6 linked regions of the Sus scrofa genome follow. The protein of the gene in region 6 purifies or fractionates together with the protein of the main gene of each other region. This does not show direct contact. Links are inferred from orthologs where the notes say so. Each region holds a gene or a part of one and is shown on either strand. Other genes may lie near its edges. The genes, in order: STRN4, STK24, PPP2CA, STRIP2, STRIP1 and SIKE1.

Region 1 (4,793 bases), on a different chromosome or scaffold from region 6:
GAGGTCTGGAATCTTCCAGCTGTGGATGCGGGCATCTGCCCCGCCACTGTAACAGTGCTCGCTGCTGCTGCCCATGGCTACCGCCAGCACGGGCCCCCTGGAGGATACCGAGGAGGGGAAGCAGGAGATGCCAAACTCCTCCCCCAGCCCCCACGGGACCTCGAGGGGCTCCACTAGCATTTTTCAAAGATGGCCAAACAAACAGAACCCAGCACCTGGACCTCTGGTTGTGCCTCCCCCCGCCGCCCCCCGGCAGGCTGCCTGTGCCCTGCCTTCCCCCAAGTCCTGAGTCTGTTTCCTCCTTCGAAGACTGTGCTGAGAAGCGGCTACGGAGGTGAAAGAGTCTGCAGAGCGCCAGAAGCCAGGCTGCCTTTGGGGGCCACTCCCTACCTGTGAGCCCGGAAGGCGTGGATAGGTTCCACGTCTAGCGCAGCATTCCTGTGGGGAGACGGAGGAGCCAGCTGTCACTGGGAGCCGCTCGTCACCCTGCTCCCTGCGCCCAGATGCCCCCGCCACACCCCTCCACGCCGGGGCTGCTGCTCTCACTTCTTGGCCGTGACCGCCTTCTGCAGGTTCCAGAGCTTGAGCGTGCCGTCCTCGGAGGCGGTAAGCAAAGCTGACTGGCTGTGGTGGAAAGCCAGGGAGCGGATGCCATCGTAGTGTGAACGGAGGGTGAATTTGGGGTTCCAGGTCTTCTTGAAGGCATCTTTGCTGTCAGACAGCTGGGGTGGGGGCAATGCCTCAGCATCTGCTCATCCAGCCCAGACACTGGGACCTCGAGAAGTCGTCCCTCCCCCTGCCAGCCCCATGTGGAGCACCCCACGGACTGGCCTCCAGCCGGGGACCCCTGCCCCTCCCTCCTGGCCCGCAGTGTCCCCTCGCTCACGCAGCAAGTTCCTGCACTGTGCAGGACTGGGCTAGCTCCTGGGGAGACAGAGGTGACTCTGATCCCTGGGGATCTCACGACTCATAGAGGGAGCCTGGCGGAGACAAGGAGAGGTCTCTGCAGGATTACAAATGCACCGAGAGGGGTCCCAGGCAGCCCCCTCCTCTCCTCTGCGGGGCTCCATGCGGCTTTCCCAAGGAAGTGACAAACAAGCAGGACTTCACCAGATAAGAGGGGGGAGGAGGACCGAAACTGCATGTGCAAAGTTCCCGAGGCAGAGGCAGCAGGAGCGGTCAGGAGATAGACAGGGCCGCCCTCCGCATCTCATCCTAAGCGGCGGGGCATGGTGGAAGGGATCAGAGAGGGAAATGGTACAGATTTCTCCAGCTGCCCTGCGGGGAGCTCAGCTGGGGAAGAGAGGGAGGCAGAAAGGTCCCGAGGGAAGTCTCCCCAGGAGATGTGAAGCAGGGACCAGACGCTGGGGAGTGAGACGGGGACAAGCACGCTCATGGGGAGAGACTGGGGAGCAGGCTCAGTGGGCCTCGGGGAGCAAGGCCCAGAGGCGTCCTGCGGGCCCTGGCGGATGGGGTCGCTCTCCAGGTGGGCGACCCGGGGAGGGCCACTCAGGAAATGAGCAGATTTTCAGGGGAGCCTCGGGGCCCTGCACCAAGACGGGGTACACGCCTGCTGAACCCCTTCATCTGCGCTCTTTCTCAAAGTCCTCACTTCTGCCACAGCTGTTGAGGGCTGGAGGGTCTAGCCCCTCGCGCAGGCTGCCCGGGGTAGGGCTGCAGCGCTCAGGCCTCACTTCCAACAGCCCCAGCAGCGCCCCAGCCTTGCTGGGATCACCGGGCAGGCAATCCCACTGCAGGTCCTGCCACGGGAGCGTGCTCACGCAGACCCACGTCAGAGACTCCTGGCCAGCCAGAGGCCTTGCACCGTCTCAGGCCCAGGACACCGGCCCTAAGGTCTCCTTTGCTTCCAGCCCATGGCCCCGAGGGCCTCACGCATCCCAGACTGGCCTGAGCTTTGGTTTTGTGGCCTGAGGTCACCTTCCCCTCCAAAGCCAGCTCAGTCCCACCTCCTGCACAGATGCTTTCACTTGCACTACTGCCCCCCGCAAGCCCCTTTCAACTCTGACACCGGATGTTGACTCAGCGCCCCCTTGGCTCCCGCCTCCTGCCCATGGCAGGTCCTGGACTTGCGGTGCATGGAAGCCGGGGTGGGAGGCAGCTTTGCTGAGAGGAGAAGCCTGGCAGCATGATTAAAGCACAGGCTCCAGAGCCACACCAGTGACCACGGTCAAGTCCCACCACCTGTCTGCACGGGCACCCCTCTGTGAAGACAGGATGAGCCGTCAAACGCTCTCACATCCTCCTCTGTCACGGGGGAGGGGCTGAGCGCAGGCGGACACCGTCGGAGCCCAGCAGGTCCCGCACCGCGCGGGACACCTGACCGGGGCCTGCGGGGGGTGGGGCACCCTGAGAACTTACATCGCAGCTGAGGTCGTTGTCGTTGGTGACGGTGAGATCTGCCAAGTCCCCCAGGCTCACCTCCCCGCCCCCGATAGTGTCCATGATGAAAACGTCTGAGGAGAAGCCAAAGGAACCTGGTAGGGGTGGGGCGGGGCGGGGCAGAGCGGGCAGGGAGAGCGAGAGAGAGCCAGAGAGAGGCAGAGCCATCAGGAGTGAGGAGGAGAGACAGGCAGAGGACCAGATCAAGAATCACAGCTGGAAAGAAAGAGACAGAGACAGACAGACAGGGCAGGACAGACAAAAAGAGAGGGAGACAGAGACAGACAGACGAACGTTTGGGACAGGGAGGCTGCAGACTAGAGGTCGGGCCTCGACCCTGAGGACACAGGAGCCCTGGGCTCAGCTCTGCAGCCTCCCTCTGCCATGGGCCCCTCAGGACTGGGCCGGGGTGGAGCAGCCTCTTACCTTCGTGTGGCCGGGGCTGGGGTGTGCCAGGCGGTGGGCCTGTCACTTTGGGGGGCAGCCCATCCACATCCCGAAGGTCGGCCAAAATTCCCTGGAGTTTGACCCGCCGACTTTCTGCAGGGATGAGGTGGGGCAGGAGTCACCGACCAGGTCAACGAGCCACGTGCAGGTGACTCTCTCCCCACTGCCGGAAGCCTCTCCTGCAACCAGGGGTGGCTAGGAAGCCCGGCACCCAGGGTGAGGGACAGACCGAGATGGGGCCCTCCATGGCCGCCCTTGCCGGGGCCTCAGTCCCCAGCCATCCTACGTGACCCCCGAGGGCCTCGTGGCTCCGAGTCACAGGACAGGAAGCAGCAGCAGCACTGCCCATCTGGCCCCCCCACTCTGGCTCTGCATCCTGTCCCTGAGGTCCACCAAGAACGGGCCGCCCGAGTGGAGGGCTAGAGGCCCTGCCTCAGGAAGAGGCCTGCCTGGTCCCCACGGGGATTTTCCAGGGAAGGGGCACAGGCCTCCCGCTCCCCTTGGCCTTCCTCTCAGGAAGCGTATCCGTCCGGTGGAGCCCTTGGGGCAGGAAGCAGCTGCCTGTGGCCATGTGCCCGCGGTGAAGGAAGGCCGGCCAGAAAAGTCTCAACTCACCCAGTTCATGGTGGGTGCCCTCTCCAGCGCACCGCCGAGGGTCTGGAGAGCCCTCCCCGTCCTCCCCGGAGCCCAGGAAATCAAATTCGTTGATGGCATCCTCTGAGTCATCCTCTTCGTCTTCATCCTCCATTTCAGGTACCAGGGCCTTGGACGGCAGCTGGGGCGTGAACACCAAGCAGAGGTCAGGGGCTCTTGCCTAGAGCCCAAGCCCCCAGGTTCTGGGAACAGAGAAGCAAGGGTTTCTGGCCTGGGCCGCCTGGCAGCGTCCAGCCCCAGCCCCGCACTCGGACGCCGAGCACCCCCTGCTGGGCACTTGACTAGCCTGCTCCTCACTGGCTGGGGTGGGGCGCCTTCTGCCTCTGCCCCCAGCTGTGACCCCCACACCCATAGGGCCGTCCTGCTGGCTTCTTCTTGGGCTGCTCGGGCTCCCGCTGCCCCCCACGCTCAGCACGGTACTTCCGAAATAACGTCAGCTAATACGACCACCTCTTTCAGGGGTGAGAGAGAATGTTTGTTTGTGTCTATGGGCCTAAGTGAGGGAAGGAGGTGCACACTCAAAGCCAGATTGGATTCACTGAACAGATCCACAGGTACGAGAGTACCAGGAAGGAGCCCCTTCCCCTCTGGGTCAGCCTCTACGCGTCACATCCGTGATTTCACAACCCCATGAATAGTTATCATTATTATAATTTCTTTCGTCTTTTTGAGGCCACACCCATGGCATATGGAGGTTCCCAGGCTAGGAGGAGAATCAGAGATACAGCTGCCGGCCTACACCACAGCCAGAGCAACACAGGATCCTTAATCTACCGAGTGAGGCCAGGGACTGAACCGGCATCCTCATGGGTACTAGTCAGATTTGTTACCCTGAGCCACATCGGGAACTCCCATTATGGTAATCACTGGTCCCATATTACAGATGAGGAAACGGAGGCTGAACAGAGTGCAGCCCTTGCCCCAGGTCGCAAGGTCCAAGCCATTTCTTTTAAGACGGCTCTTGGGTGTGTGATTACCTGAGGTTCTTCGCATCTTCCTTATAACTTTCTAAATGGGCTAAATTTTATACACATATATATATATATAAAACACGCAGGAGCTACTTTTAGAACTAGAGAAAACACCTTCGTTCCTCTTTTTTTTTTTGTCTTTTCAGGGCCGCACCCGTGCCATATGGACATTCCCAGGCTAGGGTCGAATCAGAGCTATAGCCGCCGGCCTACACCACAGCCACAGCAACTCGGGATCCGTGCCGCATCTGTGACCTACACCACAGCTCACGGCAACGCCAGATCCTTAACCCAATGAGCAAGGCCAGGGACCGAACCCGC
Region 2 (4,793 bases), on a different chromosome or scaffold from region 6:
ATCCCCTTAGTTCAGGGAGAGGAACACACCAGCCTCGGCCCAGCCCACCTTCCTGGAGCTGCAACTGAGCGGAGCACGCGGCCTCCCCAGGGGCCCAGGGCTCAAGCTCTTGACCTGTAACACACAGACCGGGGGGAACCGTCCGGAAAGAACACGGGGGACAGGAGAGAAGCTGAGCAGGTGTGTGAGTCAGGAGACGGGCAGCGCCCACCCTCCACCAGCCAGTGCGCACGACGAGAGCTGCTAGGCTGGGGGCACGGCAGCCCTCAGGCCCGGCCGCTGACGAACCTCCCGACTCAGCCTTCTCCATGCTTCCCACACCTCCTGTGTCCACAAACCTGGGAAGCAAATTTCGCAGTTTCCCAGGTGAGCTCCGGCTAAGAGCTGCTGTGTCTGACCCAAGCCAGTGAATCACTAGCTTTTGCCGTGAGCCAGAGTTCAAGGTAATGGACTTGAGGGTGAACAAGCAACATGATGCGTTTCCTCAAGCTGCCCACCCGAGCTGCACCCTGCCCCGTTTGAGACGCGTCTTGCCATCGACCTAAAAGGAAGGCCGCACCGTTACCCGCCACACGGGAGCGCTGTGGTCCGGACCACAGCGGGGGAAGGTGCAGAGGAGGCACCGTTACCCGCCACACGGGAGCGCATGTGGTCCTGACCACAGCTGGGGAAGGTGCAGAGGAGGCTCTGCTGCTCAGAGGCCGCCTTGGGCGGACACCCGGAGAGGCCCCAGCGGGGCTGGGGAGGCCTCGGGGACCGTTCCTGAGCAAGGGATGAGTGTCGCTGAAAACCCAGCATCTGAGTGCTGCGCTGCAGCGGCGGTGGCGGATCAGCTAAGTGACCAGAATGGAGGAGCGGCCTCAGTGCGGCTGCCATCAGATGAGGGACGACTCCTGGGGTCCCGTCACAGCCCAGCCAAAATCCAGATGCCGGAACTCAGACACATGGGCCTCAGCTTAAAACAGAGTGGACCAAACACATGAGCCCCTGTCACACCCTAAAATGACACAACCCCAGGGAAGGAGGGGCCCGTGGCTGCCACAATTGGAAGTAGCTACGGGGAGAGCCACCCCACGGGGCAAGGCAGGCCCAGGCCAGACACGCTGCTGTCCCCACACCTCAACATGAGGGGGCCAGGCCACCAGCGCCATCAGCTCACACGCCGACCTCGGGTGCCCAGGAAAACCTACCTGTGCTCCGCATGCTACATTTAACAAGGTGGGAACCTGCCAGGTAAGGAGATTTCCTCTTCGAGAGCAGAAATGATGCTCGGCTGTCAGCACACCGAGTCAGAGGTTTGCTTACAAGCCCTGGTTTGGAGAAGCCTGTTCTCTGGGGCCGTGGGGATCCTCCCGCCGTCCCGCGCCGAGAGCGGCCTGCGGGAGGCGGGTTCGCGGGCTTTTCAAGTTTATACCAAAAAGCTTAAGAACGCTGACAGGCAACGGAGGCAAGAACACAGGAGAAATGGGAGCGTACAACACGACAGGAGGAAGAGGCTGGGAAAAGAATCACGATTTGGCCTCAAGTCGGCACAGAGCCTCTGAGAATGACGATCCCAACTGGGCGCTACACTGGCCGACAGGAAGGGTCTGCCTGGTGTTCTGTGGACGCCGCCTCTCCCGAGGGACCCTGCCTGTGCCTGGCCAGGGTCCTGCTGAGGCCCTCTGCCCCATCCCCTCCTCCTGGCCTCCCCGCGCCCCCACATGCCTCTGCTGGACACCCCCACCGGCCGGGCCACCCCGTCCCCCGGCCTCCACCCGCTGCTCCTCCGTGTCCCTCCTTCAGACACTGGAACGGGGGGCTGGTTGCATAAAGGGGTGCCGGAGACGGCAGCAGACAGAAGAACCCTGTTTCTAACCGTAGCCCACGAACTGCCCTCGTGACCTACGACAAGGCCCTGGCTTCCCCCACCAGGACAAGCCCTGAAGTTCAAGTCCAGAGGACCACTCCCAGACCCAGCCAGCTGAGGCTCCTGACCGCACATTTCTTCTTCTTTTTTTTAACAGCCACACACACACCCGTGGCCCATGGGAGTTCCCGGGTTAGGGGTCGAATCAGAGCTGCAACTGCCGGCCTGTGCCACAGCCATAGCAACACGGGATCCGAGCCGCATCTGCGATCTACACCACAGCTTGCAGCAATGCCGGATGCTTAACCCACCGAGTTGAGGCCAGGAAGCAAACCTGCATTCTTACAGACACTATGTCAGGTTCTTAACCCACTGAGCCACAAGGGAACTCTCGTCCTCACCTTTGAGTCGTAGGCTGACTGCTTGATGACTTCGGGCGCCATCCAGAAAGGGGTGCCCACGAAGGTGTTTCTCTTTATCTGGGTGTCGGTCAGCTGGCCTGCCACGCCAAAGTCGGCCAGCTTCACCTCCCCGTGTTCAGACAGCAGGACATTGGCAGCTGCAAAAATAAAGCCAAAGACGCCCCCTGACATCATGTGCCGGAAGTTCCATCTCCAGCACGGGGGGAGCGTGTGCACAGCGACACCACTGCTGGACAAGAACTGCTTTCAGTTAGACCCCCGCGGGGCGCCCCCTCCCCTCGCAATCGCAGACCGCCCTCAGGACGACAACCCTTGAGAGAGCAGCGCAGGTAAGACGACCATTCCCACCCACCTTCGCCTTCGGCATTTCAAAGGGACACAAACAAGCTGTGTTCTTTTACCTTTAATGTCTCTGTGGATTTTCTTCTCTGAATGCAAATAATCAAGTCCTTTCAGTATTTCTCTTAATATGGTAGCAATCTGAGTTTCATCTAAAGGGCCAGGTTCTAACTGACAAGAAAAAAAAGGATTCAGGTTACTTAAATGATTAGAAGAAAAGTCTGAGAGAATAGAACAAAGTCAATGTTAAATGGACAACAATAATCAAAATCTGAAAGCTCTTGCACTCCAAAACATTTTGCCCAAACAATTAAAATCTATTTAAAAGACCCTAAAAAAAATCCCCAGAGAACCAGAGAAAATGACTTTGATGAAAGAAGCAAAGCCGACTGAGCGTCCAAGCCGGGCTGGTGAGACAGGCCGTGGTCAGCCCGATGTGTCTGTGAGCAGAGCTGGGGCGGGGTGGGGGGGGGGGCCGCTAGCCCGGAGAGCAGAAGCAGGGCCCCTTGCAGCATCTGCTGGGGAGGGCACAGGGCAGCCGGGCTCCGCCCTAGCGTGGTAACTAACGGGTGGTTAAATGGAGAAAGTCCAAGAGCTGTTTTCTGAGGCTACCCGGCACCAGAAATTTTTAAATCTGAATTTTCTTTCTTTTTTTTTTGGTGCTTTTTAAGGCTGCACCCACAGCATATGGAGGTTCCCAGGCTAGGGGTCTAATCAGAGCTATTGCCACCAGCCTACGCCAGAGCCACAGCAACTTGGGATCCAAGCCAGGTCTGCGACCTAACACCACAGCTCACGGCAATGCCGGATCCCTTAACCCACTGAGCAAGGCCAGGGATCGAACCCACAACGTCATGGTTCCTAGTTGGATTCCTTTTGGGTGATGGAAAGTTCTAGACCTAGATGGGAGCGATGAATGCACACCGTGAATACACTAAAGGTCATGCAGGGTAAGTTTTGTGTGTATTTTACCACAGTTTCTTAAAATGAGAATTTCATGGGTTTTTTTGTTTGTTTGTTTTGTTTTGTTTTTTTTTTGAAAGTGCCCCGAATGGTCCAGGGAAGAGTTTCGATTCAGGAGGAAGAGCTTCTGAGACGCGTTAGCTTCTGGCTCTCTCATCCTAGAACACAGGTGTTAGTTTTCGAGAACCAGATTTTTTTTTTAATATACTGATTTTTTTTTTTCCATTATAGTTGGTTTGCAGTGTTTTGTCAATTTCCTACTGTACAGCAAGGTGACCCAGTTACACATACATGTACACATTCTATTTTCTCCCATTCTCATGCTCCATCATAAGTGACCAGACATAGTTCCCAGTGGTACACGGCTGGAGCTCATTGCTAATCCATTCCAAAGGCAGAAGTCTGCATCTGTTAACCCCAAGCACCCCAACCATCCCACTCCCCGCCCTCCCCCTCAGCAACCACAAGTCTATACTCCAAGTCCATGATTTTCTTTTCTGTGGAAAGGTTCATTTGTGCTGTATATTAGATTCCAGATATAAGTGATACAATGTGGTATTTGTCTTTCTCTGACTTACTTCACTCAGGATGAGAGTCTCTAGTTCCATCCATGTTGCTGCAAATGCCATTATGTTGTTCTTTTTATGGCTGAGTAGTATTCCATTGTGTATATATATATATACACCACATCTTCCTAATCTAGTCATCTGTGGATGGACATTTGGGTTGTTTCCATGTCTTGGCTATTGTGAATAGAGCTGCAGTGAACATGAGGGTGCAGGTGTCTTTTTCAAAGAAAGTTTCGTCCGGATATATGCCCAAGAGTGGGATTGCTGGGTCATGTGGTAGTTCTATGTATAGATTTCTAAGGCACCTCCATACTGTTCACCATAGTGGTTGTACCAGCTTACATTCCCACAGACAGTGGAGGAGGGTTCCCTTTTCTCCACAGCCCCTCCAGCACTTGTTCTTTGTGGATTTATTAATGATGGCCATTCTGACTGGTGTGAGGTGGTATCTCATGGTAGTTTTGATTTGCATTTCTCTTATAATCAGCGATGTTGAGCATTTTCTCATGTTTGTTGGCCATCTATATATCTTCTTTGGAGAAATATCTATTCAGGTCTTTTGCCCATTTTTCAGTTGGGTCAACTTTTTTGCTGTTGACTTGTATAATTTGTTTGTATGTTTTAGAGCTTAAGCCCTTGTCAGTTGCCATC
Region 3 (5,407 bases), on a different chromosome or scaffold from region 6:
CCAGCCTACACCAAAGCCACCGCAATGCCAGATCTGAGCCACATCTGCAACCTTGACCACAGCTCACAGCAACGCTGGATCCTTAACCCACTGAGCAGAGCCAGGGATTGAACCTGCATCCTCATGGATACTAGTCGGGTTCAATACCACTGAGCTGCAATGGGAACTCCAAAGCAGCTTATCTTGAATGAAGGAGAACTTTCAGTCCTGCCAGTAGCTGATCTCTGCATCCAGGGCCACCTTCAGCCTTTTGGTCAAGATGATGCCCTCAGGGCTGGAGGGTGTGTGCTCTTCTCCAGCACATTGCCAAGTGCTTGGGTTGACTGGTATTGAGGGTAGAGTCTAAAAGAGAGGGACCAGGTTCAGTTCTTGCCTTGTACTTCATGGTTTAATGTCCTTTGGAAAACTTCCATCTCTGAGATTCTGTGGACACTGTCATGGCTAAAAACCACAAGCAACATGTCTATGTGTTAAATATATCACTGTTTAGTCTGTTGCTGAAGGACTTCTGGTTTGTTTCCAATTTTTGGTATAACAAACATCACTGCTAGAAACATCCTTATACTTATCTCCTGAAGTCCATGTGCAAAACTTTCTCTAGGGAAAACAACAAGGAGAAGAAGAGCTGGGCATGGGTTGTGCCCATCTACACCTTAACTAGATAATGCCAGATTTTCCAAAGTGGTTGTCCCAAAGTACAGCAGTGTATAAGAGACCCCATTGCTCCACATCCTCACCAACATTGGATGTTGACAGTTTTTGCCAAATGGGTGAGAGTCAAACCTGGAATCTGTGGTTTTCATTTCCCTGCTTACTACCCTTGTGTTACTGGCCATTCATCTTCCTGCTTTTGTGAAGGGCTCTTCTGCCTGTCTATCCCCAGATCATCCCAGGAAGTACACAAGCTCCGTCAGGGTAGGGTACCTCTGTTTGTATGACCCTTCTGTCCTTCGGGCATGAATCTTGAACATAACTGGCGGTGTACGGAGCCAAATATTTCTGCGAATGCAAGGACAACGGAATGCGGATACATTTCACGAATCTCGAAGAGATTTATAGCCAGAGGTCCGATCCTAGGGTATCTGAGCTTTCTTTAAAGCGCACATCACAGCCGCTTCTAACACTACCGGGTCTCAATCAGGACCGGTGCGTCCATCTCCTTGCGGTCTTCCCTCTAGAAAGAAGGCCTGAGTGGGCAGACGGTTGGTGGGGGTGGGGTCGGGGGCGTTTTCTTCTTCCCTTGGAGGCTCGGAGTCGGAGGAAAGCGCCCACCTAGGGGGGAAGGCCACAATGGCAAGACTGCAGCGGCGCCTGTGGAAGCCAGGAGCGCTAGGAGGCCCCAGCCATGGCGCTAGAAGAGACATCGAGGCCCGGGGACAGGTGTGTTGGGGAGTCAGGTGCACTGCGCAGTACTGCAGGTACACCCTCTTCCGCCTACGACTGACCTAATTACAAGGTGCTGGCCGCACCCGGAGGCAGGGGTGGCTACTCCAACCTGGCTACCACTCGGCGCCTGTTCCTGCTCCCAAGATGCAGCAATTCCAGTGCTGTTGTAGAATGGAGGAGCCACGGGGCCCAATTCTCGTTTCCGTGCTTTGGCAGTCGCCAGGTGAGGAGCCGAGGCGTATCACCTCAGGGAAAAAGTCTCCGGCAACAAGGAGCCACCCTCGCACCCCGGCTGCGCCTGCGCCTGGTCCGCAACTACACCCTGCAGGATTTAGTGCTCTAAGATTAGCCCACTTCCCAGCTATAAGCAAGGCCCCTGCTTGGACTCGGTCTTCCCTTCCCCCTCGGCCCCTCCCTTCTACAGGACCGCGCCCTAAAAGCGAAGGTGCCTGTTTCCAGCCGGCTACTTTACGCGCCTGCGCCCTGGCCCCTAGTTCCCGCCCCCGCTCGGGTCTGGCCGCAGATGAGAGCCGGCCCGGCAGTTGCGCAGCTCGTATCCCGGCGCTTCTACCCCTCCTCACCCCGCCACCTCCTGACGCCGGGCGTGACGTCACCACGCCGGCGGCCGCCATTACAGAGCCGAGCTCCAAGGCTAGAGCGAGCGGAGGAGGTCAGTGGCCGGTAGCCGAACACCGAGGGGCGAGTCAACCGGGCAGCGCTACTGCCGAGCAGCCTTCAGCAGCCACACAAGTACCCCGGGGGCCGACGGCAGCGTGTGCGTGTGGCCCGTGTGCGGGCGGCGGCGCGGGAGTAGCGCGGAGCGGCAGCCGGTTCGGGCGGGTGGCATCATGGACGAGAAGGTGTTCACTAAGGAGCTGGACCAGTGGATCGAGCAGCTGAATGAGTGCAAGCAGCTGTCCGAGTCCCAGGTCAAGAGCCTCTGCGAGAAGGTGAGCTGCACTCCGGCTTCGGGAGCCGGGGCGGGCCGAGCCCGCCGAGAAGGAAGCGGCCGCGGGGAGGGTGCAACATGGCGGAGGCCAGCGGCCCCGGCCCCCGAGCCTCCCAGACCGGCCCCCGGCGCGGCCCGGCGGCGGCTCCCGGACGACCCGGCGCCCCCTGCCTCCCGCGCAGGGATTGGTTGTCGCTGCCACCGCCGCCTAAAATGGCGCCGTTCACCCGACTCCGGGGCTTCAGAGCTTCCCGGCCTTGGCTGGAAGCGAAGTGGCTGGGGGAGGGTGCGGGGGAGCGGAGACCCTGCGAGTAAGGGTCAGGGACGGTTTTGATATCTGGGCACGAGGTCTTAGGTTCTACGGCCTGGGAATGGGGCCTGGGACTCTTCTGTGAGTTTGGTGGGAGGTTTCTTACTTGTACTCAGGCCGAATGCTTAGGTCCAGAGCTGTCCAGAGGGTCCCCCAGAGGCAAGCTTGTAGGCCGGATCCCGGGACCTATCTAATAAAGGTCACGCAGATTTAGCATCGTCTTGAGTGGTTTATGGTAAACCTCTCGAGCTGTGTTTTCCAGAGACTTATTAGTACATTTTTTCGAGAATTTTTAAATGAGCTTTTAATCTAAGTTTCAATGAAGGTCATGGTGGTAGTTATAGGGAGGAGTATAACTTATTTTTCATAGTTGGAAGAATTAGACATTTTGGTGAGTCATTCTACATAGGAGCTTTGGGATTGGAAATCAAGTGTCAGTTTAATCTCTGATTTATATGCTGACTCAAATTGGATAGTATGAAACCCTTCTTTAAGCTTAAGGTTCTTGGCATTTTGCCATTTGTTTTTTAAATGAGCAGCATAAACTGTTAAGACCAGCAGATTTTGTATCCTTGCTCTCTGCTGGAAAAGTTGTTAGTATATTTGTGACTTTAAGTAGTAAGTATGATATTAACAGCTGTTGATCGAGCTTTTGCTGTATTCCAGTCATTGTGTTTAGTGTTTAAATCCCACAAACGTTTAAAATGGAATGTTGTAGTCTGTTTTAGAAGTCCATTTTAAATGACCTAATTCTGATTTGTTTTTCCCAAGGAGTTGGGGAAACAGGTAGCCTGTTTAAGTCTTATAATTCAGTTTTCTAAAGTAGAGAAAATGCTGATCTCCACCATGAATGTTTCAACTTCTCTTTTTAAAAATAACTCTGCAGCATCTTTAGTTCCACAGAATGGTGGAGTATCATCAACATTTTGTATTAGTGAAGAGAGTTATTAGAAAGCAATTACGCTGACTCGTTTGTGGTTTGATGTGAAAATTAGATTCGTAAATTTGACATATACGCTCCTAAAACAGGCTTTTTCAGAAACTCTTCTGTGAATTACTGCAATTTAAGTAAGTCTAATTCAGATTTGTTTATCCCAAGCCTCAACAAAACTTCTAGTTGATGAGGTGGCACATCATCTCTTGGAGCTGAATTTTAATACTGGCAATGTAGAGCCTTTTGTTGCTTCTTGATCCTTAATTCTTTTACATCAGATGAAAATGACATTTGTTTAAAGTTTTGGAAGTGGGCTTTTAAAAATTGTTTAATGTATAGTGTTAGGTCTTAGTTTTTGGATACTGTAAGTGATGATTTTAAAGATTTTTAGAGTTGAGTACTTAACTCTATATAAAGACTTTGAGTCAGCAGTTGGCTAGATGACTAGTTATTTGTGTAGCAAACATTGCAACAGAGTAATGATGTGGTTGGAAGACCACTGGACTGTGAGTTAGACCTGGACACTGGTCCTTTTTCTGCCACCAAGTAATTGTGACCTTGAGGCAATCACTTCACTTGGTCCACATTTTCTTGTCTATAGAGTTAAAACATGTTCCAGGGTTCCTTCTAATCATTTGAGATTATACAATTGCATTTTAAAATAGTACTCTGTATTTAAATATTGAACACTTATTGGATATCCAAGATTGCTTACTTTTATGAGAGGAGTGAAAAGCAATGAAAAATAATCATGCTTATTTTTAAGGATCTTGAATCTGGTTGGAAGTCTGTAGTAGATAGACCACAGAAGTAAAGGGTCTGTGTTGGAGACAGCAGAAGATATTGGAATTATGGTGGGGGGACTGAAGCTTGATCCCCTTGGTAAATATTGTTTGCTATGTCTCTGTAATATCAAGATGGAGTGAGATTAATCAGTTTATGTTTAAATCCCCATTGCTCATCCACTGTATAAAGATTTTAATTCTTGGAGCATATATATATATATATATATATCTTTGATGCTAGATTTTCAAGACATGGGTCCTTTTGGAGGTTGTCACATAGCCTTCATACTGTTTTTAATTTGTAAGTATTCCGTCTTTGGGAACTGTATTAACCTTCCAAAATAAATTAACTTGAAGGCAGTTTTTTAGGTATAGTAAGTCTTTCTAGTGAAACAAAAGTTCTCTTTTCACTATTAATATTTGTGTGGCCAATAGCACAACTGGCAAAACCTGTATATTTTGAAAATCTTGAGTGGAAAACCTTTTTTCATTAGTGTAATAATTAGCGTAATTATTTTTCTTTTTAAAGAAAAGATATTTGGTGGAGGTAGATATTTGGAAATAGTTGATAATTTCTTTGATTATAAGAAAGTATATTTATAGACCAGGGTGAATAGGGTTTTTATGTTATTAACTATGTAAGTTTTTTCCCCACAAGATGTGACTAAGGTCTGTATCAAAGCCAAGGTTGTTGTGTGTGCAGTATACCTTGTCATTTTTGGGGATCATAATTTGTTGATTGTTTAAAAATTTGTGATGAGTGAAGCAGTTTTGTCTGTAGGCACAGTTCTGTAGTCAGTGAGGTTAGTGCATCTGTGTATCTAGACTGGTATGTTTCTATCTCCTGATTGGAAGAATAAGTAGTATCCACTTGCTTTTACATTAACTGTATTACAAGTCTTTTGTTAGGATCAGCAGTGGTTTCATTTAGGTATGATTTTTGGCCTTGTGTTTTCAGGTCTTACCAAACTTGTGGAGAATGTTGTTTGATAGCCAGGTGTTTTGTTTTGTTTTGTTTTCCAGAGGAGTTCTTTACTTATGTA
Region 4 (4,793 bases), on a different chromosome or scaffold from region 6:
CTGAGAACATAATTTTTAATAGCTACACATAATATTCCACTACTTTTTTTTTGCCACACCCAAGGCATGTAGACATTCCCAGGCCAGGGATCACCCCTGAACCACAACAGCAATCCAGGTCATTGCAGTGACAATGCCAGATCCTTAACCTGATGTGCCACAAGGAAACCCCCCCCACTACTTAATTTCTTTTTAAAGATTGTTTTCTACTATTATTGGGCATTTATTTCAGTGTTCTTCGTATCCAAAATGAATATACTCGTACCTCATTTCTGATTATTTCCTTAAGATAAATTCCTTGAAGTGGAATTATTTGGCTAAGGTAATCTCGATTCATATTTTTTCAGTTTTCTGAATTTGAACTGAGTTCAACTTCATTTGGCACTCCAACTACACATATAATGGACATGAAATAAAGGCAGAGTTAATGGCATGTTAATTTCTAAAGTGTTCTCATTTTGTCAAAATATTTCTCTCTCCAGTAGGCCATCTTTACTCATGTGCTGAATAGTTTCCTCACCTACCTGACATAGGAAGTCTCACAATTTTCCAAAAGTCTATATTCCAAATTCAACCCACTAAAAAGACATTAAATTTAAATTCCAAACATAAGAGAAGGATGATGAGTATATGATTGTATGGAAGTTAGGTATGGCCTTTGGAAGGAGGTTGCTAAAGAGGCAGTGGGTGTGGCCTTAGCAAGTACTGTAGGAAGCTCAGCCTCCTCTGGGTGGTTGTTTAGAGCAGTGGTATGAGAAGTAGGATGTGCAACACGATGCTTTAGGGGTGGAATATATTAGATCTTCTATGTGTATTAATATCCTTTTTTCTATATTTCTGTGCACTTTATAATATACATCATGTTGCTACAACAATCCGTTTATAATTTATAAATAAACACACATTGTATTTAGGAGTCACTGAGTATCAGAGCTAGAAGTTTCTTAGTGTCTTGCCCAATCTCATCCTCTAGTGGTAAGGCAATAGATGGAGTGGTGAAGTGTTGTCCAAAGCATTGGGTCAGAATTTGCATGACCCAGCCATTTGCAAAGAAATGTTTGGAATATCCTCTTATATCTAGGCAAGTGAAATTATTAAGTTAGTTTTTAAAAGGCAGTTCATTATAAAATTTCTTAAATTTGGATTTGATTTATATCTAGAAAGACCTATAAAAATATGTTCATATCACTTAAATTTATATAACTGATCCTTTCATCTCTTATTAAATTTAATTTTTATAACTTCCTAAATCAGGTAATACAGATAATCCCAGAAGTTTTTTGGGTTTTTTTTTTTTGCCTTTTAGGGCTGCACCTGTGGCATATGGAAGTTCCCAGGCTAGGGGTGGAATTGGAACTGTAGCCACTGACCTACACCACAGCCACCTCGACGCCAGATCCAAGCAGTGTCTGCAACCTACACCACAGCTCATGGCAACTCTGGATCCTTAACCCACTGAGTGAGGCCAGAGATTGAACCCACAACCTCATGGATCCTAGTTGGGTTCGTTAACCCCTGAGCCACGATAGGAATTCCAATCCCAGAAGATTTTTGTTATTTATTTATTTATTTATTTATTTGCTCTTTTTGCCTCTTCTAGTGCCGCACCTGAGGCATATGGAGGTTTCCAGGCTGGGGTCCAATCGGAGCTGTAGCTGCTGGCCTACGCCAGAGCCAAGGCAACGCCAGATCCGAGCTGTTTATGTGACCTACACCACAGCTCATGGCAATGCTGGATCCTTAACCCACTGAGCAAGGCCAGGGATCGAACCTACAACCTCATGGTTCCTAGTTGGATTCGTGAACCGCTGAGTCATGACGGGAACTCTGATTTTTGTTATGTTTTGATTTTGCTTTTCTTTTTTTCTTTTTCTTTCTTTCTTTCTTTTTTTTTTTTTTTTTTTTTTTTTTGTTTAAGGCTGCACCTGCAGCATGTGGAAGTTCACAGGCTAGGGGTCAAACTGGAGCTGCAGCTGCCAGCCTATACCACAGGCAGAGCAACATGGGATCTGAACCGCATCTGCGACCTATACCACAGCTCACAGCAACGCCACATCCTTAACCCACTGAGCCAGGCCAGGGATGGAACCCGCATCTTCATGAATACTCGTCGGGTTTGTAACCCACTAAGTCACAACAGGAACTCCTGTTCATTCCATAATTGATGTGTGTTTGTCTTGGTTACTTCAAATTAACTTGGGAGAGGAGGGAGTAATCTTCCATTTACTAGATAGCAGCTCACTTCTGCACGTCTCCCACACCTTCATTCTCCATTCACATGGTAGACACGAGGAATTTTCAAGAAGTTAGTTTGACCACCATGTGCGCTCATTGATTTGTATAGCTTCTGACACCAGTGTATAGTTACAGTCCCCAAAACCCATAAAGACTCTTATTTTCGTTCCTGAAAGATGTTCCTATGAGCAGATACCTGTTTCTGATCTGACATCCATCTGTTATCACTGGTTGGGTGCTCACAAACTATCAAGAAACATTCAAGAGAACCACCTGGTTTGAATTAACCATGTGCCATTTTTCCTTCCATGCCAGAGAATTAAGCTAAATTGCTTAATGTGCAATTGCTTAAACTGCAACGTGGTTTGATAAAGGAGGGTGGAGACTGATTTTAAAAAAATAAACTGTAATGAATATCAGATCCATCCAATATAGTTTGAAATCTACCAGAATAACTCCTAGCAGTTACAGACATAAGCTTTCCTAAAGCAAAAAGCTATACAAGAAAGCTTGCTTAAATGAAGTTCCTGTGTTCATATATCATCTTTCTCTAGTACTTACTCTAGGTACAGAGTCTTCCAGAATTGGCAGCTGTGTGTTTTCAGATGAAGGATATTACATGCTTTGAAGCCTCGGTGTGTGAGAAACAGGATGGAAAGGAGGTAGCATTTCATATGGAAGGTCTCACCTAAACTGACCAACAGTGACCTCCAGATTTCTGTGGGAATGAAAGCCTTGTAGGTGTTGAGATAATGATGAACATGCCTTATTACAGGAAGCTGGAGACAACAACCAGTTCTGCTGGAGGAATCTCTTTTCCTGCATCAACCTTCTGAGGCTGCTCAATAAACTGACCAAATGGAAGCATTCCAGAACCATGGTGAGTGGAACTTCAGATCACGGTGTCCACCTGACTGAATTTTCTTTATCTTTAGTAAATATGGACTTCCTGCTTTGTCTATAGATAGACACTGAATGCTCTGTAAGATTTAGCACCTCCTAATTCTGGGCACTTATTCTACATGAGATAATTATTAAATGGTCCATTTCTTTTCAGGGAACTTAATATGATCTCTCCTTCAGAGCAGCTCTGGTGGGGAAGTTGGGATTATCTTTTAGATTATAGTACATATCCCAAATGATACAAGCCTAAGATTATTCATTACAGCATTATTTATAATCATGAAAGATTGGAAACAACCTAAATGTTCATTAATATGTGACCAACTGGTTAAATATGGTACATCCTTGTAATGGAATATTAATACAACCATTAAAAAGAATGAAGCAGTTCTATACTGCTATGGAATAGTTTTCAAGAAATATTGTTAAATAAAAATCAAGATACGGAACAATGTGGAAGGATATGTAGTTGCTATCATTTTTGTTAATAAAATAATATATGCGTACACAAAATTATCTCCAGAAGATACGTAGGAAACTGGTAACAATGGAAATGGGATGTGTGGCTGACTAACTTCTTCGGCACTTTGAATATTAGAAATTTTGAATTATGGAATATAAATAGAGTGGATCCTCTCTGTTCTTATGACCAAGCGTAAGTGGAGCTTGGACCACAGATTTCCCAAAACTTACCAGGGTAGTCTGAGGTTAACAAGGTTTGGCTTAATTTGTCTGTGAGGTGGAAATTCCAAGAAACTTTAGACACTTATCTATCTTTCTTCACTCCCACCCTCTTTAAATGGGCAGATGCTGGTAGTGTTTAAATCTGCTCCAATCTTAAAGCGGGCTCTCAAGGTCAAACAGGCCATGCTGCAACTTTATGTCCTGAAGCTGCTCAAAATACAGACCAAGTACCTGGGGCGCCAGTGGAGGAAAAGCAACATGAAAACCATGTCAGCCATTTACCAGAAAGTACGCCACCGCATGAATGATGACTGGGCTTATGGGAATGGTGAGTTTTCTCAGGGCTTTTGCCCAGGGTTTAAACAGAACTAAATAAACATTTGCTACTCTTTTGGTATGAATTGTTACATGTTTTAGATGAGAAAATATGTGATTATATTCAGGTACTGATAAAAAAAAAAACCTTAAAGCACTGCCCCAGATTCTAGCACTTACCTTGTCCTATGTATACTATGAAAATCCACTTTATGGAGTTCCTGCTGTGGCTCAGCCGGTTAAGACGACATAGCATCTGTGAGGATGTAGGTTCTATCCCTGGCCTTGCTCAGGGGGTTAGGATTCTGGCATGTCCACAAGCTGTAGCGTAGGTTGCAGATGCGTCTTGGTTCTGGTATTGCTGTGGCTGTGGTATAGACCACAGCTGCAACTCCAGTTTGACGCCTAGCCTGGGAACTTTCATATGCCACAGTTACAGCCTTAAAAAGAAAAAAATTCATTTTATAAAACAAGTAAATTGAGGGATAATTATCCTTTTCCAAAACATTCCTCTAAGTGACAGGTCTCTTCAAGAGATTTTTAAAACTAAAATAATCTTTTATTATTACAAAGCAATTAGAAAATACAAGTAAGCAAACATTTTAAAATACTATTACATTTATGCCATATTTGTACCACCTAAAGATTGCCACTAA
Region 5 (5,505 bases), about 4.3 Mb from region 6:
TGATCCCCTGTTCGAGAAGAGACCACTGCCAGAGGGGCCGCACACGGCCATCAATGTCCACAGTGGGGCTGGGCCATAGCCAAGTGAGCTGACTGTGCAGAGATGCTCCATAAAAGTAAAGAAAGCCAAAGTTGTGACATACACGGGGCCTGAATCCAACAATGGACATGCTCTAGGTATACACATCACTGCTAGGACCAAGTAGGGGGACAAAATGAACTCCAAAACGATACTCACTCTTAATTCTATTAAAGACTGACAAGGCAAGAAAGCACCCCTAATAATAAGAAGGCCTGTGCTTTACCTGAGAGCTCTGCAGCCCACTTGTCTGTGTCAGCATACTCAAACTCGAGGTCTGGAGACTCGGAATAGCCCTGGTGAGGAAAGGCGAGTCATGCAAAAGATCACCGTGAGTGTTTTCCAAAGGAATGAACACATATGCTTCCAGAGACCCTGCTGTGTTACAGGATGTCACTACCTTCACTTTGCTGATGCCTTATCACAATATTTTGTCCCCTGGGCTAGCTCAGGTCTCCCTCTCAGAACAACCTGTACTACTTCACAGCATTTATCCTAACTCATAATTATAAATGCACATGTGTATTCGTTTAGTGTCTGCTTCTCCATGAGACTGCAGATTCCTTAAGAGCAAGAACTTTGTCCATTTTGCTCACCAATGAGTCCACAATGCCCAGCATCCTACTGGGCATGAACAACGGACTGAATGAATAGTTCACACCCAAATAACTACTTGTTGGAGGAATGAACACTAAAGCTTCCGTGTAATCTGTGCGGTGAAATGACCATCCCACATGGTGCTCAGATTTTGGAAGCGTCATTCCTTCTAGCTAGTGACCTATCCATAGCTCAGGACTATATGAGTATACACACCCTCAGCCCTCCTGCCCTTCTCTCAAATTTCAGTGAGAACTGACGGAGAAGACAGCAGCTGAACAGAAATGGCTCCTTCCTCCCACACGCGGGAGAGGAGGTGACAAAGAGAATCTTTTTACTGCTGGGGATAGGTCACTAGCTGACAACACACCATCTTGGAAGCCATGTTCCGGGAAAAGAGAAGAGATGAAGAAAAAGGCAGTCCTCAGGCTTGATTACAATTGACCTGGGAAGATAAAGACCACTCGAAAATGATGTAAAACACCCACAAACACTGACTAACACGAAGAACTCCTTATTGGGGCCAAAGAGTGCATGTTCTTTCATAAGTTACTGAGCTTCAGTTTCTTCATTTATGGAATGAGGATGACAAAAAAATCTATCATGAAGGTTTTTTTAAGGACTAATCAAAATTGTGTAGCACACAGTGGGCTCCCATCAAATGCCTCCCCCCGGGTCCTGCAGGCACCCCTCAGGTTCCCAGCCTACTGATTTCAGCTAAGACACAACAAAGAGTGGCATTAATATCTGTAAGAAACAGATTTAGACAGGTCCCTCAGCTTAAATGTGTTCACTAACCTTGTATGTGTTGAGTCTACATGGAAATTAAAGGTTAGAAAGAAAAATTCGAATCCATCAAAGTGCATTTAATGGCCACTTAGGAAATTTTTTAACTATTTAAAAACTAGGGGGAGTGCTTGTTGTGGCTTGGTGGGTTAAGAACTCATAGTATTCATGAGGATGCAGGTTCGATCTCGATCCCCGGCCTCACTCACTGGGCTAAGGATGGGGCGTTGCTGCAACCTGTGGCATAGGTCGCAGATCTGGCTCAGATCCTGCATTGCTGTGGCTGTGATGGAGGCATGCATCTGCAGCTCGGATTCAACCCCTGGCCTGGGAACTTCCATAGGCCACAGGTGTGGCTATAAAAAGGAAAAAACAAAAACAAACCCCACACTAGAACTCCTCTTCTGATGAAGGTGGATTATTCATTACCACTTTCAAAATCCTCCATCCTTGAAAAATTATTAGGAAGTCCCCACTGACGTCCAATCAGCCCACCATGCCAGGGCTACTAAAAGGTCAGTTTCATTGCCTTTTCAAATAACTCACCTCAAGCTCAAAGTGTATCTGACTGGAACTTGCCAAATTTTGATGTTTTACCAGAAGATTGCTCATGCAACAACACCCAAGAGCTTGAGAGGAACTGATTTCACAGGCCCAAAGACGGCATCAGCACTCTGCAATGAACTGGTACCTTATGCCTGGACAATGCAGAATTCCCTCTCATTAATAATAATAATAAGCACCTGACTGCTAATCAGCCTCGGAGTCGTCTCAGGTGAAGGAGCCCTCACAGTAAGGGCGCTGGCAATGTGCTGATTAAGAAGCCTGAAACGCTGCGACGTGTGTGTCTTCATTCATGAATTCTGCGATGGGAGGCAATGGGAGTGTAATTCTTTAATGCGGGGTGAGCTCCAAACTACGGTGTCTCCGAAAGGGGGGGAACAACCCACTAGCAAGAACGGAGGGAAAGCGGCTTCCTAACGCGTGTTTAGATAAACATATTTTTCATCTTTAATAGGTCAGCATCGGGCGCACTGGGCACACCAACCACCAGGCATTGTCAAACCATGGCCCGAACCTGCAGTGGCTAAGGTCAGAGTGGACAGGACTGTTTCTCCCTCCTTCTCTCCCCACCTCGGCGCACAGTACATCGGTGCTAATTAGCTCAGTCCGTCTTCGAGGTGCCTTCCAAACCCTCGCCAGTCTCTTCCCTGCCCACACACACCCTTCGCCGCCTTGCGCTGCGGAACCCGCGGGACCAGAAGCCAGAGACGATTAGGGGGTTGGGGGTGTAGCCGCGCTGCCCTCTGGAGCGCACGCAGACCACTGACTCTTCACCCTTGAACTGGGGGCAGGGGATGGAATCCCCAGAGGCCTCGCCCACAGCCCCGGCCGCAGAGGAGCCTAAGAGCGGACATAGGCTCCAGAAGGGTTCTACCTGGCGGCGGAACTCGGGGAGGGGGACCCCGGTTTCAAGTCTCCCGCCCCGGGGATGCCAGCTTTGCGTCCTGCTCCTTTCGCTGTTAAACAAGCAAACAAACAAACAAAACCTCCTCTGCCGAACCCGGCCCAGCTTGAACCCGAGAGCGACCCCGGCCCCAGAGCCTCCGCCCGCCTGGTTCGAACCTCGCCCCCCGAAGCTCCTACCTCCGAGTCTTTGCGCTGGTTGCGGTTGAACTCTCGGGCTTTGCCCCCGGGCAGGAGGCCCCCGCCGGCCCGCGGTGCCCCAGGCGGAGGCTGCGCGACTGCGGGCGGCGGAGGTGGAGGCGGCTGGGGCTGCTTGTTGTTCATGATTAGAGGACCGGGACCGCCGAGTGCCGGCTCCATCTTGGCTGCTCCACACCCCCGGCTCGGCTCAGTTCAACGACAGTTGCTGCGATGAAACTCTCGCGTGATTTCCTCCCGGAACGCTCCCTGATCGCCATATTAAGTGTGGCGGCAAGTGCCGGAAGCCATCTTGGCTGCCCAACAGTTCGCGATATTTCTTCTATTTGCCTTCCTATCCTCCTCTGCCCCTTTGGTTTTTACTCTGTGTGGGTCCCAGTTTAGAGGTCTTTTTATCTGCGTAGCCCATAAACCCCTTAAGTCAGTTTAGGCCTGCCCAACTCCTGCCTTCACCATCTCTTTGCGCTTGTCACTGTTACAGCCCTGTTCAAAGCTTTGGAGATATGAACAAAATGGACACAATTCCAGTCTTCATGGCGTTTCCATGGGGGGAGAGGTGCGAAAAAAATGAATAAATCAATAAAACAATTACAGTTATGGCATTCATTAATCACTTATTCATTAGACATTTAATGGATATCTGGTATGCTCCAAGCATGTGATAGAATGAGGAACGAAATCAAATGCCTGCACTAACGGTACATAACACAGTGTCTAGTGGGAGAGACGATGTGCACACAAACAAACAGATTAGACAAGTAAGCTCTGAGAAGAAACAAAAAGAAGTGTAAGGGGGAGTTCCCTGGTGGCCTAGCAGTTAAGGACTTGGCTTTGTCACTGCTGTGGCTCCCGTTCGATTTTCTCTGGCCTAGGAAATTCCGCATGCCGGTAGCTGTGGCCTACATAAACAAACAAATAAATAAAATTTTTAATTAAGGGGAAAAAAGAAGTACAAAGGATTCAAAGGTGGTAGTAATAGGGGCGGGGAAGTGTGGCAGGGCTATAATAGGTAGGCTGCTTAAGAAAGGCAGGCCTGAGGGTGAGATTTTGTTTTCGTTTTTTTTGTCTTTTTGCCATTTCTAGGGCCGCTTCCCGTGGCACCTGGAGGTTCCCAGGAGTCTAGGGGTCGAATCGGAGCTGTAGCCACCGGCCTACACCAGAGCCACAACAACGCGGGATCCGAGCCGCGTCTGCAACGCACACCACAGCTCAGGCAACGCTGGATTGTTAACCCACTGAGCAAGGGCAGGGATCGAACCTGCAACCTCATGGTTCTTAGTCGGATTCATTAACCACTGCGCCACGACGGGAACTTCAAGGGTGAGATTTTGAATGAGTTCTGAAACAAGTGAGGGAGAGCCACCCAGATCCACGGAAGAAACACAGGCAGAGGGACCAGCTAACTGCAGAGGCTCTAAAGTGGTGTGGTACAAAATGAGAGAAACAGGGGAAGAATAGTAGGAGATGAGGGCTGGGTAAATGCAAGGGCCAGAGAATTAGAGGGCCTTGAAAAGCACTGACAGGACTTTGGATTTTATCCTACGGGAAATGGAAAACCATCAAAAAGTGTTTACCAGGCAGGTGTCATGGTCTGATGTTGAAAAGACCAGTCTGGCCGCTTTTGGAGAGGGATTGAGAAATTGCAAGAGTAGGTGAGGACACACAGGTTAGGAGACTATATAAATGGAAATGATGATGGCTTATATCAGGATGGAGCAGTGGTTTGACATGGTATTTCTATACTGTGTAGGTAAACTCAACAGGATTTGCTGAAAGGCTGGACTACTATCAGCCAGATAGAGAGGAATGATGGATGAGTCCTAGATTTCTGGCTTGACCAACTGGGTAGATGCTTATATAGCTTATTTAAAAAAAAAAAAAAGGCTTAGTATTACTTATTAAAATAGAGAGGCTGGGAGAAAGGAAAGCAGGTTTAGGGAGAAGATCAAGATGTCTGTTTTGGACATGTCATATATGAGACCCATTTGACATCTTAGAGGTGATATGTAAGGATCACCTGTTGCTATGTTGTGAGATCCTTAAAGGCATTTTATTCATCTTTGTCTCTCCCCAACTACATCTTGGCTGCTCCACACTCCCAGCTCAACTCAGTAAATCACTGGGATTCAACTCTTTCAGGATTTCTGGAGTTCCCGTTATGGCTCAGTGGTTAATGAATCCAACTAGGAACCATGAGGTTGGGGGTTTGATCCTTGGCCTTGCCTAGTGGGTCAAGGATCCAGTGTTGCCGTGAGCTGTGGTGTAGGTCACAGATGCAGCTTGGATCCCGCGTTGCTGTGGTGTAGGCTGGCGGCTACAGCTCTGATTCGACCTCTAGCCTGGGAACCTCCATATGCCATGAGTGCCGCCATAAAAAGA
Region 6 (5,530 bases):
CATTTCACAGATTCTGTCAATCTGACTCTCAATTTCCTGTGATGATATTAAAAAAAAAAAGGTGGAAAAGTCATCTTTTTTTACAGATAGGAAGTTCATGAGAACATGTGCACTATGATGTTAAAAGTTCACTTAATCTATGTTACAGAGCTTACACAGAAGTTTCACTATAATCTCAGTCCTCAGAGATAAAGCCACAATAAAGTTACCTTGTGATATTCACAGGTAATTTGTTTCCAGAAAATCGATTCTGGTCTAAACACTCATTGCATGTTGGAGAGTATCTCTAAATGGCTATTTAACTTAAATTCAAATATTTTTATTGGCACCAAACTTACCACATTCCAAGGTATCTTATTGTATCTTTGGTCACATCTCTTAGCAAGTTTTGTTTTGCTTTGTTTTTGGCTTTTTAGGCTTGCACCCACGGCATATGGAAATTCCCAGGCTAGGGGTCCAATCGGAGCTTCAGCTGCCAAGCTACACCAGAGCCACAGCAATGCCGAGTGAGGCCAAGGATCGAACCCACATCCTCATGAATCCTAGTTGAGTTTGTTAACCCCTAAGCCACAAAGGGAACTCCCAGCAAGTTTTTAATATAAACTAAATTCTGTCTCCTTCAAGGTTCAAGTTTTTGCTTCTGGATTACAGATTATTATTTTGTCCAGATGAAAGCCATTTGCATATTTAAAATACCTATTTTCAGAGTTCCCGTTGTGGCTCAGTGATTAACGAATCTGACTAGGAACCATGAGGATGAGGGTTCGATCCCTGGCCTTGCTCAGTGGGGTAAGGATTTGGCATTGCCCTGAGCTGTGGTGTAGGTCGCAGATGCAGCTTGGATCCCGTGTTGCTGTGGCTCTGGTGTAGGCTGGTGGCTACAGCTCCAATTCAACCCCTAGCCTGGGAACCTCCATATGCCACAGGAGCAGCTCTAAAAAAGGCAAAAAGACAAACAAACAAACAAAAAAACAACCCCCCCAAAACACCCATTTCCTCTGAGTTTTTTAACTAAAGTCAGTAAAATGTTTTCAGTGGAATCTAAGATGAAACTTATCTTCCAGAAATTCCACTGCAGCAAAGAGTGAGATATAGTAATACATACTATATCATGTATTAAATGATATAGTACATGTGAATATACAATGAGAACTGTGAAACACTCCACAAACTTATGAGCAAGTACTGTGTAAATCAACTATAACAGAAAAAATGAAAATGTTAAGAAAACAGAATAATTACTGGGTCTCCCAAATTAAATCATAAGTAACTAAAGTATAGATACTGATGTTGTATAGTTTACAGACTGCCTGCTATGTGCCAGGTACCATGTTAGAGATAATAGATGGAATTCAAGCTCCTTACAACCAAAGAGCTTAAAGTCTAGTGAAATATACAATAATAACCACTCAAGTATTTACTGAGCCCCTTCAACATTAACTGGCATTCTGTCTGGTAGAAGAACGAAGCATTCATTAACATCTTGAAACAAGATCTCAGTGAGGGAGGGAGGAACTTTGGAATTACTCAAATAAAAGGCCCTGAGCAGCTCTTTACCCACCTTTTTTTACTTTAAAAATTTTTTTTATTAAAGTACAGTTGATTAACAATGTTACCTTCCCCAGTCTTCTTATTCATATCTTTACAAAGATATACTAAAACCAACAGCAAATGTGATAAAACACAAAAGGAAAACAGCTTAGTTTTCTTCAAAAGTGAACACACAATCCAAAACAATTTCAAGATTTAAATGCAGTTCCCTTAAAATTTTTTCACAAAAGTTTCTTACTGCAGAGTGAGACTGGTGAGCTTTCAGGACTGGTTCAGCATCCACTGCTTTTTTAGCAACCATTAATTGTAACATCTGTTTCCGGTATTTGCTCATGATGAGTTCCAAAGCATCCTGGTGTTCCTCCAAGGAAACCCATAGCTCTATCAAAAAATAAAAAAACTTGGCAGTGATGTCTGAGAGATACCTCCTAAAGCCACACTCAAACAGTTGGAAGTTTATGGCATTCCATGGGATATTAGGAATCCAAAGTTGTAAATCAGTGTTGAAGTCCCCAAAACTTAACTATGTGAAAAATATCTGTCTAGGCAGAAGCAGCATCAACTGATAGAGTCATGGGATGTGGAATTGGAAGACATAAGTTTAAGTCCAGTTCTTTGAGTTATTAGCTTACTACTCTTAAAGCAAATCATTTAACCTCTATTTCTTATCTGCCTTGTAATAATAAATACCTGGCTTGTTTACTTCAAAATAAAGCTATGAGAATACAAGTGTATGGTATATGTAATTCCCTCTGAAAACTGATATACAAATAGCTATTCATACTACTACCATTAGCAATGTATTCATTAAGCCCAAGAATATACACCAGAGGATAAAACTTAGCTCTTCCGCCTTGCACAAGAACATAAAAAAACCCCTTTGATCTTAACTTTAATGTTTATTTCAATTATTTAAAAATTAAATTTTAAGCCCTTAAGGATATTAACGCCAGGAGTTCCTCTCCTGGCTGAGTGGTTAACAAATCCAACTAGGAACCATGAAGTTGCAGGTTCGATCCCTGGCCTTGCTCAGAGGGTTAAGGATCTGGTTGCCCTGAGCTGTGGTGTAGGTAGCAGACGTGGCTCAGATCTGGTATTGCTGTGGCTGTGATGTAGGCTGGCGGCTACAGCTCCAATTAGACCCCTAGCCTGGGAACCTCCATATGCCGTGGGTGCGGCCCTAGAAAAGACAAAAAGACACACACACAAAGCATATTAACTCCATCTGGGGACACCTAATAAGCCATGCAGTATTCAACTCTACTACACACCTTTCTGATGAGCTGCCTGTAAATAAAAAATCAGTTATATGACCTTGAAAAGGGAATGTAACACATTTTATTGCTACTGGGCCGGCACAGGACAACTTTCCCGTTAAAAGTACTGACTTGGACAATACAGCATGTGTATCTTTATGAATGGTTTGTCAGTTCTGCAAGAACTCTTTAAATATTACTGCATATGAGAAAATCATAACTACACAAAAAGGCCTGACTAACCTCTGTTTTCCTGCTGCAAGTCTCTAATCTGTGTATTCTCTTGGGAGAGCAGAATGTGAGGTTTGTATTTGGACATGTCCTTTATATCGGATGCATCCTCTTGATACTGGACAAACAGAGACATACTAATCGCGCCGTAAACAAGACAGCCGCAAATGCAACTGAAGACGCAGGAGGCAGTGTTCCAGGGTAACATTCTCATCCCCGACCCCGCAAAAAGGTTTCACCGCTGCCCTCGGGGACCAGGAATATATTCCAAGTCGCGTTCCCACTTTATCTCACCCTCCACCCCTAAAGTGCCCAGAACCCGAGGGCACGGACCCCTACCCTCTGCCTGACCTGGTCCGGAAGGGCTGTCCCCGCCTCCCGCATAGCGGCCACCCGCCGGTGCAGCGCCGCGGACTGGTCCACTAGCGACTCGGCCGCAGCATCGTGCTCCCGCAGCCTCTCCAGTAGCGTCTTAGCATCGGTCAGAATCTTCTCGATGGTGCAGCTCATAGCCTCCACAGGAACACAGCCCCAGCGCCGGTCAGCTGTAGGAACCTCTCAGATCCGTCCTGAGCCTGTCTCAGCGTTAGTGACGTCACTTCCGGGTACGTTTAAAGGCGCCTCGGTGATGGCCTATAGCGCTTGCGCAGTGGAGCCAGGTCAGCTGGTGACCCGCTTTAAGCCGCGGTTTCCCCGAAGCCTTTATATGTGCCCAGTGGCGGAGGCCTCCCCTTGCCTCGCCCTTGGCTTCCTGCAAGGCCTGATGGTCAAGTTGAGTTATGGCTGGGCTAGTCCAAGTTTCTCCTTTCCTTTGTGGTTTTGATTAATGTGTATTGTTATCGTCATTCTTTTAAAAATATTTTCTTTTTTTAAGCTGTGGTAAATTATGCATGAAATTTACCATCTTAACCATTTTTGAAGCATAGTTCAGTAGTATTAAGTGCATTCAAATTGTGCAGTTATCACCATCTATCTCCAGAACTCTTTTCATCTTGCAAAACTGGAACTCTGCAGTCAAATTTTTAACTTCCTATTCTGCCTTCCTCCTACCCCCTGGCAACTACTCTTCTATTTTCTGTCTATGGATTTGACTACTTTAGGTACCACTTATAAATGGAGTCATGTAAATCATAACTGTCATTTTCGTGACTGGTTTATTTCACTCAGCATAATGTCCTCAAGCTTCATGCATGTACAGCAGAATTTCCTTCCATTTAAGACTGAAAAATATTGGGAGTTCCTGTCGGGGCGCAGTGGTTAACGAATCCGATTAGGAACCATGAGGTTTCGGGTTTGATCCCTGGCCTTGCCTAGTGGGTTAAGGATCCGGTGTTCCTGTGAGCTGTGGTGTATGCCGCAGCCGTGGCTCAGATCCCGAGTTGCTGTGGCTCTGGCTAGGCCAGGGTCTCTCAGCCCTGATTAGACCCCTAGCCTGGGAACCTCCATATGCTGTGGGAGTGGCCCTAGAAAAGGCAAAAAGACAAAAAAAAAAAACAAAAAAAAAAGACAAAAATATTAACTGATATCTATATTTACATCTATATTTATGTACATATCATGTTTTGTTCATCCATTCACCCATTAATGGACCCTTGGGTTGTTTCCACCTTTTGGCTGTTGTGAATAATGCTGCTATGAACACATGTAATAAATACCCATTTGATTTTTTTATATGCAATGATTTTTATTTTTTTCATTATAGCTGGTTTACAGTGTTCTGTCAATTTTCTACTGTACAGCATGGTGACCCAGTTACACCTACACATATAGATTCTTTTTTCTCACATTATCATGCTCCATTGTAAGTGACTAGACATAGTTCCCAGTGCTACACGGCAGGATCTCACTGCTAATCCATTCCAAAGGCAATAGTCTGCATCTATTAACCCCAAGTTCCCAATCCATCCCAACTCCCTCCCCCTCCTCCTTGGCAACCACAAGTCTGTTCTCCAAATCCATGATTTTCTTTTCTGTGGAAAGGTTAGTTTGTGCCATATATTAGATTCCAGATATAAATGATATCATATGGTATTTGTCGTTCTCTTTCTGAGTTACTTCACTCAGTATGAGCCTCCCATTTGAGTCTTTCCTTTCAGTTCTTTTGAATGTATACCCAGAAGTGGAATTGCTGGGGGTATATGGTAGTTCTATTTAAAAATTTTTGAGGATTGACCATACTGTTTTTCATGGTGGCTGCACCATTTTACATTTTCACCAGCAGCGTGCTCCCTGTTCTTGTCATTGTTGTTGTTTTAATAGCCATCTTAATGTGTGTAAGAGGGAGTCATTATTTTCTGCTTATCTATTTTTTCAATTTTAATTCAGTTATTAATTGAAAACAAATTTAACTAGAATAGCATGACTTTTGTGCTGTTTGTTAATTGCTTTATTAGTTTACCTTGTCAAGTGTGTATGTCAAACTCTCTTCTCTTTTTAAAATTATTATTATCATTTTTTGGTTTTAGGGTCACACCTGCAGCATATGGAAGTTC

The links.
Region 1: the proteins of SIKE1 (region 6) and STRN4 purify together in Homo sapiens (affinity purification with mass spectrometry; 3 studies listed by BioGRID and IntAct, with this or other methods). This does not show direct contact. The link is inferred for Sus scrofa from reciprocal best matches to the Homo sapiens genes SIKE1 and STRN4.
Region 2: the proteins of SIKE1 (region 6) and STK24 purify together in Homo sapiens (affinity purification with mass spectrometry; 4 studies listed by BioGRID and IntAct, with this or other methods). This does not show direct contact. The link is inferred for Sus scrofa from reciprocal best matches to the Homo sapiens genes SIKE1 and STK24.
Region 3: the proteins of SIKE1 (region 6) and PPP2CA purify together in Homo sapiens (affinity purification with mass spectrometry; 4 studies listed by BioGRID and IntAct, with this or other methods). This does not show direct contact. The link is inferred for Sus scrofa from reciprocal best matches to the Homo sapiens genes SIKE1 and PPP2CA.
Region 4: the proteins of SIKE1 (region 6) and STRIP2 purify together in Homo sapiens (affinity purification with mass spectrometry; 3 studies listed by BioGRID and IntAct, with this or other methods). This does not show direct contact. The link is inferred for Sus scrofa from reciprocal best matches to the Homo sapiens genes SIKE1 and STRIP2.
Region 5: the proteins of SIKE1 (region 6) and STRIP1 purify together in Homo sapiens (affinity purification with mass spectrometry; 3 studies listed by BioGRID and IntAct, with this or other methods). This does not show direct contact. The link is inferred for Sus scrofa from reciprocal best matches to the Homo sapiens genes SIKE1 and STRIP1.

Annotation. Positions count from the first base shown.
Region 1 is NC_010448.4:52,606,797-52,611,589, forward strand, and holds part of STRN4 (striatin-4), read right to left. Parts: intron 3,623-4,793; coding exon 3,463-3,622; intron 2,941-3,462; coding exon 2,827-2,940; intron 2,496-2,826; coding exon 2,380-2,495; intron 723-2,379; coding exon 547-722; intron 439-546; coding exon 391-438; intron 98-390; coding exon 1-97. UniProt on the Homo sapiens protein: Calmodulin-binding scaffolding protein which is the center of the striatin-interacting phosphatase and kinase (STRIPAK) complexes.
Region 2 is NC_010453.5:67,474,761-67,479,553, forward strand, and holds part of STK24 (serine/threonine-protein kinase 24), read right to left. Parts: intron 2,782-4,793; coding exon 2,673-2,781; intron 2,409-2,672; coding exon 2,251-2,408; intron 1-2,250. UniProt on the Homo sapiens protein: Serine/threonine-protein kinase that acts on both serine and threonine residues and promotes apoptosis in response to stress stimuli and caspase activation.
Region 3 is NC_010444.4:136,519,280-136,524,686, reverse strand, and holds the start of PPP2CA (serine/threonine-protein phosphatase 2A catalytic subunit alpha isoform), read left to right. Parts: upstream 1-2,056; 5' UTR 2,057-2,234; coding exon 2,235-2,336; intron 2,337-5,407. UniProt on the Homo sapiens protein: Catalytic subunit of protein phosphatase 2A (PP2A), a serine/threonine phosphatase involved in the regulation of a wide variety of enzymes, signal transduction pathways, and cellular events.
Region 4 is NC_010460.4:19,213,489-19,218,281, reverse strand, and holds part of STRIP2 (striatin-interacting protein 2), read left to right. Parts: intron 1-3,010; coding exon 3,011-3,115; intron 3,116-3,945; coding exon 3,946-4,150; intron 4,151-4,793. UniProt on the Homo sapiens protein: Plays a role in the regulation of cell morphology and cytoskeletal organization. Required in the control of cell shape. Calmodulin-binding scaffolding protein which is the center of the striatin-interacting phosphatase and kinase (STRIPAK) complexes.
Region 5 is NC_010446.5:110,077,494-110,082,998, forward strand, and holds the start of STRIP1 (striatin-interacting protein 1), read right to left. Parts: upstream 3,525-5,505; 5' UTR 3,289-3,524; coding exon 3,109-3,288; intron 375-3,108; coding exon 305-374; intron 1-304. UniProt on the Homo sapiens protein: Plays a role in the regulation of cell morphology and cytoskeletal organization. Required in the cortical actin filament dynamics and cell shape. Part of the striatin-interacting phosphatase and kinase (STRIPAK) complexes.
Region 6 is NC_010446.5:105,777,906-105,783,435, reverse strand, and holds the start of SIKE1 (suppressor of IKBKE 1), read right to left. Parts: upstream 3,641-5,530; 5' UTR 3,549-3,640; coding exon 3,390-3,548; intron 3,157-3,389; coding exon 3,051-3,156; intron 1,933-3,050; coding exon 1,790-1,932; intron 37-1,789; coding exon 1-36.